2 linked regions of the Caenorhabditis elegans genome follow. The protein of the gene in region 2 purifies or fractionates together with the protein of the main gene of each other region. This does not show direct contact. Each region holds a gene or a part of one and is shown on either strand. Other genes may lie near its edges.

The links. Proteins that work in one complex are often made in the same cells at the same time.
Region 1: the proteins of K01A12.3 (region 2) and wshc-2 fractionate together in Caenorhabditis elegans (co-fractionation; one large-scale study listed by BioGRID). This does not show direct contact.

What each region holds. Positions count from the first base shown.
Region 1 is NC_003284.9:14,745,530-14,750,987, reverse strand, and holds wshc-2 (WASH complex subunit FAM21), read right to left. Parts: upstream 3,686-5,458; 5' UTR 3,649-3,685; coding exon 3,586-3,648; intron 3,533-3,585; coding exon 3,368-3,532; intron 3,272-3,367; coding exon 3,137-3,271; intron 3,088-3,136; coding exon 2,841-3,087; intron 2,392-2,840; coding exon 1,910-2,391; intron 1,861-1,909; coding exon 1,609-1,860; intron 1,495-1,608; coding exon 1,258-1,494; intron 1,213-1,257; coding exon 1,027-1,212; intron 982-1,026; coding exon of another isoform or gene 975-981; coding exon 750-974; intron 706-749; coding exon 640-705; 3' UTR 546-639; downstream 1-545.
Region 2 is NC_003284.9:8,620,049-8,626,748, forward strand, and holds K01A12.3 (putative G-protein coupled receptor K01A12.3), read right to left. Parts: upstream 5,143-6,700; coding exon 5,049-5,142; intron 4,818-5,048; coding exon 4,692-4,817; intron 4,492-4,691; exon of another isoform or gene 4,403-4,491; intron 4,318-4,402; exon of another isoform or gene 4,234-4,317; intron 4,022-4,233; exon of another isoform or gene 3,950-4,021; intron 3,788-3,949; exon of another isoform or gene 3,716-3,787; intron 3,628-3,715; exon of another isoform or gene 3,555-3,627; intron 3,417-3,554; coding exon 3,328-3,416; intron 3,238-3,327; coding exon 3,118-3,237; intron 2,376-3,117; coding exon 2,156-2,375; intron 2,110-2,155; coding exon 1,787-2,109; intron 1,732-1,786; coding exon 1,565-1,731; intron 1,489-1,564; coding exon 1,389-1,488; intron 1,336-1,388; coding exon 1,228-1,335; intron 666-1,227; coding exon 522-665; downstream 1-521.

The DNA.
Region 1 (5,458 bases), 6.1 Mb from region 2:
TACTTTCGTATTGTAAAACAATTCATGTCAGCAAACTTTTACCAAAAACTCACAATCCACTTCATTCCATAATTGATATTTGTCCCATGATCATCATCGCATAACTTCCATGTACAAAAAAAATAAATACTGTTGAATCAACTGTGAAAAATAAATTACACAAAAAAATAAAGTTATTTCTGAAACATTTAAAAAATTGTATTTTTTTTAATAAATAGTTTTTGAGAATTCATAAGATTTGTGAAAGCTTCAAAGGACTTGCTAATGTCAAATTCAAAACCTAATTTTTTCTTTAATGTGCCCTTTTAATAAGTTCTTGGCAATGCTTTTTGGCAGTTTGAAACCTCAAACTTTGCCAGCTCTTTTGTGGCATAGCGGCCGGAAATTAGTTTTCTCTAGTTATCTATCGACAAAAAATATATCTGAATCACAGAACCTACAACACTAAAAAGATTGCGCCATTAGAAGTTCTAGATTCTAGTTGGCCACATTTTAAAAGTTCTTTTCACAAAATTCGATATTTTGAGACAATTTACACACCAGAAAAAAATTGTAAAATGTTCATATAGCAATTTTTACATAACTTTTCACAATCTTCATATATTTATTCACATGTTAGACCCATTATAAAAATTTCAACTAGTTTGACGACGACGCATTTGGACGAGTTGGTGGACGGCGGTTTGAAGGACCTCGGCAGCGACTCTGAAAGGTTTTCTTGGTGTTTCAAATAACAGACTATGTACTACCTTCAAAATACTACCGACGTGATCTTCTGGATTCTCAGCAGCGACATCATTTTCATCGCTAACCGGTAAGTTTTTGACAGGAATGTTAGGTGTAGAACCCGGGAGACGGAATGATTTTTGTAAGTCTCCTATTAGTGATATTTTTGCAGACATTGTTTCGCTTGGTGGCTCTTTTTTGGTAATTGATGGTTTTGCTGGTTTTGCTGGTTCAGATGATGAGGGTTCCTGAAAGCTAGTAAAAACGCTAATCATATGTATTTTCAGAAATCAATCATACCATTTCAGGTTGAGTGACAATTGACGAGTTTCTGTTTTTGGGAGCGATTGGTGTTTTCGGTTTTGTGGGTAGAGAGAACAAGTCTGAGTCAGAGTCACTATCATCAAAGAGTGACTTGGCGGCTGGTTTTTTGAATTCTACTTTGGGGATTACTGCGGTAGTGTTGGTGACAGGTGTTGGTTTTGGCTGCAATTTACATACTCTGTCCAGTGTATTTAGAACAAAACTTACCGCTGGAATATCAACAGCTTTTGGAACAACAACTGGCTCAATAGGCTTCTTCACAACGGGAATGGATTCCGTTTTAGCAACAGGCTTTGATTTTGAGAACGACTTTAAAAAGTCGTCATCAGAGTCCGAATCTGATGAGAACAAAGATTTTTTCGCAACTGGTTTAGTGGCTGGGACAGCAGTATGGTTTGTGGGTTTGACTTGAGGTGGCTGAGAAGGTTTTGGAGTCTCTACTTTCTGTAAAATATAACATTGTGAAAATAGGAGCATGACATTTCGGAAAAAAAATTGTGGCTTCGTGATGAGCGAAATATAAAGCTGAGCAAACAACTATTCACTCTATTCACTAACCTTGACCTCAACAGGCTTGGGTGGCACCGATTTCTTGACAACTTCTGTTGGCTGCTTCTTGATTGATGTAGTTGGCTTGAAGATGTCCGTGTCCGAGTCAGAGTCGGAGTCAAATAAGCTTGACACGAGCTTTTTAGTGTCCACTGGCTTTAACTCATTTGCTAAGATTTTTCTTGACAGAGCAGACTCGTCTGGTTTCGCTGGAGTCGCTTCAGCCGGTTTCACAGGAGTAGCCACAGCTTTTGGAAGCACCTGAAATACAATTTCATTACGAGTTTATTGTTATAAATATTTTAACAACCTTTGAAGCGGCTGGCTTTTCAGTTTTTGCAACCGTTGCAACTGCAGCGATGACTTCAATTTTTGGATGGCCAATCACAATCACCGGATCAGCAGAAATACTGGTCTTCACAACTTCAACCGTGCTTGTCTCCAGTTTTTTAACGGTCACCGATTCGGTCTCACTACTACCAAGCGGCTCACGATCCGTATCCGAATCAGAGTCCAAAAGCTTGGCTTTTGCGGCAACCTTTTTCTTCATTTCCCCAATCACTGAAGCCATAGCCGCCGGTCTCGTTGGGCCCTTCTCAATTGGCATAGCACTTTCGGATACCAATTTCTCATTGTGATGCTCTGCCAGGCTATTTTCGTTTTGTGAAGTGATACTAGCAACTTCTTTCGGTACGTCTTGAGGTGAGTGTTGAATCCCATTTTGACCGACTTGATCTACCAAGATGGCAGTAGTTGATGGAGATGGTTTTGGTGGCTTTGGCTGTGGCGGAGCTGAAAAAAACAAATTTAGTTTTGTGAATTTCTCATGTCAGGGCATATTCTCGTATTTATAAAGAAATAAAGTTCAATAAAATAAAAATGTATAAAGCTGGTTGGGAAAGTAGCAAAAGTTTGGCGAAGAAGTTGCGGGTGGCTAAAAAATTGTTCCTGTGAATTGGCGTTTTGTGTAAAAGGGTTATTCAAGAAGTGTCGGAAAATAAGAAAGTGTACAAAAATGACGTCACAGCTACATTGAAGTACAAGTTTTTCAGACGTGACATCATTTTTCTACATTTTTTTAATTTCCGACACTACTCCATAAGATTTAGGCTTGATAACAAATTCGTATCCGCTTATGAACGGAAAAACGTCGTTCTTTCCGTTGTCCTACCTTGAACTTTCAATATGAGTTATAAAATGTAACTTCCTGGATACATCATTTTCGAATTGAAAAACCCCACCTGCCAGTGTCACCGGCTCCTCAACGGTTTGTGCTACCCGTGGACCTATATCGATTTTTGGCTGCTCTACGCCATTTCCGATTTCCACACGTGATCTACTAGACTCCACAACTTCATCTTCATCTGAGCTAGATGCTCTTTGTCTATTCCTATTGGCTTGTGGTCTACTGGCACTTTGTCCATTTGCATTACCATTGGTTTCAGACTGCTCTCCAATATATCCGGACGTGAAGACTGTTGGATTTTCCTGGAGTTAGAGATTTTTTAAAAGTTTTTTGATGAATGAAAATACTCACCAGGAAGTTCATAGTGTTTCCGGCATTGATAATTGCGTTTTTGTAAGAATCCAAAAATTCCTGAGTGAACCCGCTGCTTTTTCTGCTATCAACCCGCATGTCTTCAGAATTTGGAATGTTTTGGGTAGAAATAACCTGAAAAAATGGAAAATTTATGAGGTATGTGGGAGGCTTGTACTTAAATTGAAATTTTTGGGTCCAATGACTTCAAAATTAAAAAAAAATGCTGACCTGCCTAACTGCTTTGTGATTTTTAAGATTGGCCATCCGTGATGCTGCACTATTAACTCGTAATGCTACAAGTCTCGAAAACTTTTCCAAATCATTGGCTTTACGCTCGACTTGTGTCATTCTTTGGTTCATTCTTGTTGATATGTCACGAGCCATTTGAGTCAGCTGAAATATTGATTGAGTGAATTATGAAACCATGAAAATGAAAATATATTTACCTCTTTATCGACTTTCAATGAGTTTGGATTAATATTTGTGTTAAGGCACTCATTGTGTTGCATTTTTCCCCGTTTGGCTATTAATTACCAAATTCTGAAATAAAAATAAGTAACTATCAAAGTTATTCAAAAATTGTAATGAACAAGAACCGATAAAAAAATAATAATAACCAATTGTGTAAACAGACAAAAGTGCGCAGCTGGCGCATTTCTCGAGAGTAGTTGCTGACGTACTACCGGTGCAGTGTTGCCGCTGCCCATTGCGAAAGAGTGCGGTGGAGAGAACGAGATAACGCAAAAAAGGGAAGGCGGCTGACACACAGTGAGAAAAGATGAATGGGAGTCTTGTGGAAATGTGAAAAAATATTGCAGAGAATGTTGGAAATAACGTTATAACTATGTAAAAAATCTATAAGTTCTAAAGATTTTTGTATGTTAACAGTTGAAAAAAAAACAAAGTTATTAGGTGAAAATATTGTTAGAAAAAATTGAACTTACATCATGATGTTGGAAGGTTTCCGAAAAAAAAAGTTACCTAAATATAGTTATAAAAAATGCCAAATTGGTCGTTTATCTTACAACATTTCGTTGATTAAGTTAAAATTTAAGTAATAGGTATTCAAAAGAGATTGACATGTGCAATAAAGAATGAAGTAGAAAAAAATTTTTCACCTTTGCGGCACGGACTTATTTGCAAAATTTGGGTTTTAAGTTAAAAATAAGGACATAATTTTCTCGAAATTTTGCACCTCTATAAAAAAATTAAATTTTTTTTGAGACACTTTTGAGAATTCTCATTACGAAATTAGTGCATTTAGGCAGATTTTGAGTTTATACAAAGAAAAAACCCAAAGTAGATACTCCTCTTTTATGTGCATTTTCGATTGAAAAGTGCTCAAAAGTTGACAAATTAGCACACCAATCGACCGAAAATTTACTTCCAGCTATTCCCAAAAACTCTGAATTCGAGTGTAATCGTTCAAAGGTGGAGTACAAAAATTTGAGACGTAGCTTTTTTTAGGCCCAAAATGGCTTAAAACTACCAAATTTTGGAATGAGACGTTCTGAAAATTTCTCAACCAAAAGTTATGGTGCCGCTCAAAGTTTTGGAAAAACTGGGCAATTTTTCAGTGTGGAGCTTAATTTTCATTCAATTATTATCTTTTAATGTCTTCACAATTTATAGTTATCTCGTTAATTAAGATGTTTTTTTGCCGATGCGGGCACACTTTCTATACATTTTTGGAAGCTACAAAAAAGTTGAGATATTAGCTAAAAAATGAACGTTTCTTTCAAATCATAACTTTTTTTTGAGAACAGAACGTCTTATTTTGAAATTTGGTAGTTTTGGACCATTTGAGTTAAAAAAGCAAAGCCCGAATTTCGGTACCCTCCCTCTTTTAAGCCTGTAAAAATTTAGAGGGGGGGGGGGGAATTTTTTGAGATAGTTAAACCGTTTTTTGAATGTTAATTTCATGAATTTTAGAAGCGTGAACCTAAAAAAATACCGCATAATTCATTATTTTTGTTAAACCATATGCCTAATAAATTTTATGTTTTTATTTTGGCAACAGCAGCCCATTTGTTAAGTGACCCCATATGCAGCATCGATACAGTTTTTTTTTAATTGGTGGTCACTTTTTTCCGTCTCAAAAAAAAACTAGGTTATCTTTTTTTCACTTTTCAATCTGTCCTTTCGAAGATGTTTTGATATCGCTTTCGTAAAAGATATGCAGTTTTTTTCCTGAAAAATAGAATAGCTGGACAAACTTTAACTTAACTTACATGCCCATTTCAAATGTTTCTTTCAAATTTCCCTTCTTCCTTTACCCTCGAATGCACATGTTGCAAAATCCAGGTCACCGCAATAAAA
Region 2 (6,700 bases):
ACAGTTTTATTCTAAATAAATTACTTGAATATAGGCAATAAACTATTTTACGTACACTATACAAGAACCAAACGTTAATGTTAATATGCAAAAGTAGGCGGCAGGTAAGCACGTAGGCTTATAAAATTTCCGCCAAATAAGACAATTTTACAAAGTGCAATGTTTTTCAATGTTATAAAATTTGATTATGGCTTTATTAGAATGTCAATTCATGGTAAAACATGGAATAAATGTGTGATAATGAGGAGATGTGGTAATTTTTAAAAGTACAATGAAAAAAGAAAACCGAAAGCTATGCAATCAAATTGAAATATCACAGTCGCGAGAACTCTCTTTGTTAGTGCACAACACGGGAACACACAACAACATGGAAGATTTTGTTCATATGAACTCACAAATTTGGGTGACAGATAGAAACATGTAAAAATGGTAATTTTGGCAAGAATCAGATGTTCATAGATCATTAGAGAGGAAAAAGAGATCATCAAATAAGATGTGTAGTTGGTCATCCATTAAAATAATTAAATGCTCGCTTTTTTGGCAAATTTCACCCAATGCTCAACTGTTTGCCGCCCCAAATCTAGCACGATAGATTTCGCCTCTCGTTCGCTGTCAAATCGGGATGATCCACCTTGATTGTGAGCAGATTCCAATTCTTTTGTGAACTGTAAAAAATTAATAATTTCAGCGGAACTTTTTTTAAAATTTACTGATACTAATTAGAATGGTTTACACATATTGATGAACTAAACTCTGAAGAGTAGATACATAAAAAAAACTTTATTCCAATTTTTTTTAAACAGTAACATAATCGAGTTTTCAAGATTTTCTCAATAATGTTTTGTTTGATGCAATTTATTACTCCATTTAGTTTTAATTGTTGGATGGTATGTATACTAACTACTCTTGAGCATTACTGCCTTTCACCTTTATGAGTTTAGTCATCACTTTAAAAATTTTAATAACCGTTCTTTAAAACGTATTGAAAGTTTTGTCTCAAGCTGTTTTCGTGTACAAAAAGTAATGGGTTAAATTAGAATAACTTTTTTTTAAATGAAAAATGGTGCGATTGAAAATTTTTCAATTCCGACTCTCGATACCTCGCTTGCTATGCATTAAGTTTATCAAAAAATATGTCTTTTTTTTGGGTATAGATTAAAGCTTAAGCTTTAGAAAAGTTTAGTATACCATTTTAAATTTTGAATAACTAGAAAGACAAGTCCTTACCTCTGGCTGGAATGGTTCATCATCGCTACTTTCCCTCCATCCCTCACTGGAATCGTACAATGGGTTGACTCTCATTATGAACTCGCATAGCTGCTCAAAGTCTCGACTCTTCAAATAACAATTATAAAAGTTTAAAGAATATGTGCTCGTGCAACACTCACCTGCATTTGCAGTGAATTGCGCACAAAATTACCGTCCCTGTTTGTACGGCCCGATCGAGCTGATATTCGCGTCGATTTCATTCCAGCTGCGTTGGATCGTCTGGAAATTTTCGAAATATTGAATTAAAATGTCGTGAATATATTTTTTTAGCATTTCGAAAAAGAAACAAGCATACTTAGAAACATTATGTCGCCCATGCATTCTGAAGGGGTGACTCGATCTTCGTTTTCTGATTTGATATCGAATCGCCGCACATGTTAAGATTTCTTTGTATGTCAAGCGCATTCTGTCATTGAAATATGCATAAATAAATGGGTTACAGGTATGATTGCACAACCATAACTGAAAAAATAACTTTGCAAGTTTCAATTTTAAGTTTAGAAGTTTTGAAGCTTACGAGATGAAGAATAACTAATTGCCACCCGGAAAGATATTCAAATGCATATGGTTTGATGAAAAAGAGAAATGTAGAAATTGTGCACAAAATTGATGGGTAGAAGAATTGAAACGTCAGTCGAGCCTTGAAATTGCCAGTTACAATTATTTCATTGAGCGCTAAAATTACCTGTTTCCTGAATCTGTTTGCTGAGTTTTGATTAAGTTTGTTTTTGCTGATTTTCTTTTTTACTTGACGAATTTTCAGCAAAACCAAAGTTGAGCACACCCATTGAGCTCCAAGACCGAGCAGATTTGCAGCGCAAAGAAGTGTGAAAAACAGGGCTAGAATATCAAAAATTGTACATTTTTAATTAAAAGTGCAACATACTCGTGTGAGGTCTTGGTTCTAAAAAACTGATACTCCACATAGTTCTCTGTATTCCAATCATTGGCTGGGACAGTGTTCCAACAAGTGCCGCTGCAATTCCGACTATCCATGTACTTGCAGAACAAGCAACAGCAACTGATACTTGATTGAGTGCTCTTGCTTTAGTTCCATAATAACATATTGCAATGCATCGGTTCGTTCCTAGCATTGCGTAGCTGATCTGAAAATATGAATTACTTTAAAGCGTTAATTATAGAAAAAGTTTCAAATTTTTTATTTAAAAAATTTTCTTCAGGTTAAGATTTTTCTTTTCGCTTGGAGAATGTTATTTTAAAGATATTAAAGCAAAACTTAAATTTATTCACTTCTGGAAAAATTAATAAAGGTAGGTTTTTTCTTGGTACAAGAGTGAGCTGACAAAGCCTCCTGCGGATAAGAGATTTGTCAGGGTTACAGGTGGCGTTTTTACCTCTTCTCGTCTCAAGCATGCCCGATTTACCTGCCTTGAACCAATTTCACTACCCACTTTCCGAGCCGGCTTGGTGAGCCTTTGGGTTGGGTGGGGTTGATCTTACGACCTCTTAGGTAAAAGTGCTACACCACCACCACTTAGACACTCGTGCCCCCTAAAACTGAGTGTACTAATATTTTTTGAAATATTTTGTAATGTTTTTATAGTTAAGTTAGTTTACTAACAAATATTCATAGATTCTGAGAGGTAGGCTATAGTTTTTTTTTTTTAACTTTTTTGCAAAACAAAAAATTTAGGTATTCAAAGAACTTATTTTTTGGAACAAGATAGTGTTCTTTCTGAGTTGAGCCCCCTTTTGTTAAATATATGTCTGCAATTTTTCTTGCGAAAAGGAAGTATGTCACTTTTTTTTCATATTTTCTCTGAAATTTAATATTGGTGACATAGAGGCCCGCCTTCACTTATGCATATTTTGCAGTTAAACACTGACCACTCCAGCTGTCCATGCAGCGACAAATGAAAACGAGAGCACCGCGTGAATATTTCCAGTCTCGAAACCAGCTGCTGATGAATCTGTTTTTGAGTCGTTTCGGAGCGACACAGGGGCAATCTATAATAAAACGTTCAGATAGTGCAGCTTGAACTTGAAAAAATTAAGAGATGTCGAAATTTCCAAAAAATAGATTTCTTGAAAAATTACCTTCTGGTATGGTTCTTCAAGACTGGGAATGAATGACGTGAGATCATTTGGATTTGGCCACATAACATCCATCCCGCATGCTACACCAGCTGAAATTAAATTCTATTATTTTAAGTATTTTGCAAAACTTAAAAAAATGTGTTTATCATTTTGAATTTTGAAACAGCAAATTTTTTAGGATGAAACTATTCAGCAAACCAACTTAAATCGAAGAAAAGGTAAAACGTGGCCGCGTGGGGCAATGGATAACGCGTCTGCCTACGGAGCAGAAGATTGTAGGTTCGAATCCTGCCGTGGTCGTAACCTTTTTAAAATTCGTTCTCTCTTTTTTAGGAGTACGGTTTGCCAATTTTTCAAAAAACAAAAGTCGATGTGTCAAAAATTATTTAGGGGGCACCCGGAGTTGAACCAGGGACCTCTCGATCTGCAGTCGAATGCTCTGCCACTGAGCTATACCCCCATGTGGTCAGCAAATATTTGACTTTTTTAAGAAAAGAGAGAGGGAATTGGCGGACAAGAATCATTGCAGAAAAGATAATGATAAATGGAAATCAATCGGGCTGAAGTAACAGCGCTCTATTGAACTACTTGCTAGGTTACAGTTGTTGTTCAAAAAGTATTTAGGGGGCACCCGGAGTTGAACCAGGGACCTCTCGATCTGCAGTCGAATGCTCTGCCACTGAGCTATACCCCCACATTCGTTCACGCTTTGGGCTTTAGAGAAATGATGGACAATTTGTTGAGAAAAAACCAAAAGCTGTGTGGGAAATTGGACAAACGCAGACACGGTCAGTTGTCCATCCCGGCGTATTTGTCCTTCACGGAGAACGTCCAAAACAGTTTATTTGGTCATATCTCCGCAAAATGTCAATCATTTTCCCGTAGCTGGATCACTTTTGTACATGTGGGGGTATAGCTCAGTGGCAGAGCATTCGACTGCAGATCGAGAGGTCCCTGGTTCAACTCCGGGTGCCCCCTATATACTTTTTTCTTAATTTTGGGATTTTTTACCAAATGACTGCAAGCCGTACAGCAGAAAATGTATATTAGCCGAAAACATCGAATAAAAAAATTTAAATGTTTTCGACCACGGCAGGATTCGAACCTACAATCTTCTGCTCCGTAGGCAGACGCGTTATCCATTGCGCCACGCGGCCACGTTTCGGTGTGACTCAGATTTCACTTTTTACCCCCTAGAAACATTTTATCAAGTTTTTTGTGATACTGATGATCAGGGGTGAGCGGAAATCGAATTTTCGGCTATTTCGGCAATTGGCGAAATTGCCGAAAATTTCCGATCGCCGTGCACAGCAGTTGATGATATTGTAAAAAGTTTTCAACTACTAATTTTTTGTGAAAGTTACCAATTAACATGACAATACTGTCTGCCAGTGCTACATTTGCCATTATTGTGTATGCGGAAAGGCGAAACACTCGGTTGGTCAGAATCATGATAACCGTTGTTACATTGCAGAAGACTCCCAAGAGACCTGCAAAAAACTTTTGTTCGAGAATTTTCATTGTATTTATAGAGTATATAGGTTTCTCCTAGTCTCCTAGTCCCATCAGTAATAAGACCCATCAGTAATAAGCACTTGTAAATGATTCACTGTGCGCATCGAAAAAAATCCCGGAGGAATTTTTTTCAATATTACCAAATAGAACAAATGAGAAAATATATTTTTAATGTTTCCAAAAAAAAACAGTACGCCCCGACTTACCAACAGCTGTGTATGCCACACCGACAATTGAGATGTATGAGTCGAATGTGAAAAACGAGATCATATCGGCCCGATGTCTAGTAACCGACTCCATTTTTCCTTGCAACGCTACCACATACCGTGGAACAATTGATCACTGTTACTAAAAAAATTGTTGAAATTGGAAAGTAGAAATGAGATAGAAAATAAGAATGGAGCTAGAAAATGTGGGTTGAGTCAATGAGCTAGTAGAAGAGGAGGGCATGTGCTTGAGAGCTCAAGAGCAACTATTGAATGTCACTATTTTTCAGTCAAGAATTTTTAAAGCTTTAACAGGCCTGCCTACGAGAATGGGAACATTACTTGCCAAAATGTTGTCTTCCAACAGATTAGTTAAAATGAGTGAGCGTGAAATGTGTCAAACACCGAATACTGATTTCAAAAATAGAAGATAGGTAGGTAGGCACGAATGAACACGTGATTGCCTGCTAGGTGAGATTAATGACAAAACGAAGTCGAAAAAGAAGACGTTGTAAACTAAGGTAAACAAGATACTGGAAGTAGCTTATCCCATTCAAACAATATTCCATTCAAATCTATAATTTTTTAGATTCATAAGATTTCATTTACAGAGGAGTATATAGAAAATAATGACGATATTGAATGTTTTGTTGTCAGGGGCGTGCAATTGCAATTATTGAGCAAAAATCTTATTTCCTTTAATTTATGGTGAATGAGATTTGGAAAAAAAGTGTTGCTTCAATTTTCCAAAGCTAAAAGCTGAAGCGTATTTTATTTTCCTAATAAATTCGAAAATTCCGAAATAGAGTAAAATTGCCTACAGACCAGACACAATAATTTCTTTTAACATTCATTTGACAGTGGCATTATCAAACTTCAAGTCCTGATTTTTTCAGAATGAAAAAAAAAACAGCTGAAACTTTTCAAGACAAGAGTCAAGTGCGTCGGACGGTTGCCAAGAGCTGCAGACACGTATACATGCATAAATGCAGCTGGTACTAAACTTTGAAGTGCTCTGAGGTGATATGTTTTACAATAGGATATCAAAATATATATAGCTTTTTTGGGTATTGTGTAAAACAAGGTTTGAGCGAGTTTAGTAACCAACTCGATACGGGGAGCCATAAAATCGCTCACACAGCGCTCCAATATCTAAAAGTGGCTCGGTTTCTTTTTTCTTTCAGTGTCATGGTGTATAGCTTTTCAACTCAGTGAAATTATAACTTCTGGTGAGAAGGGTGGCATTTATCTTGTATCCAAGCACCCTTCAATTGACGTTTCAATTTTACAAAAGTGCTTGTTTTGGTGTTTGAGAATGAGGGAACATATAACGTGAATCTATGGGGATTGTGGTGTAGAGGGGTTAACCTTTTTTTTTAGCAAAACTTGAGAATCGCCTTTAAACTTTAAACAATTTGAATTCAAAACCTTTTTTATTATCTAAATGTGCTTCAAATTGCTTCAAGTGGATCTAATATATAAAATATTAAAAAAAACGAAAACCCCTTTTTATGGAAAAATTCTTTTGATTGATGAAAAGTGCGCAACACACAGCTAATAAAACGCAAAAAAGAACAATTACGTTATAACTAAATTTCGGACGCTACAATACATGTAAGAATAGTTTCAGACTCCAATTACAGTTTTCTTTT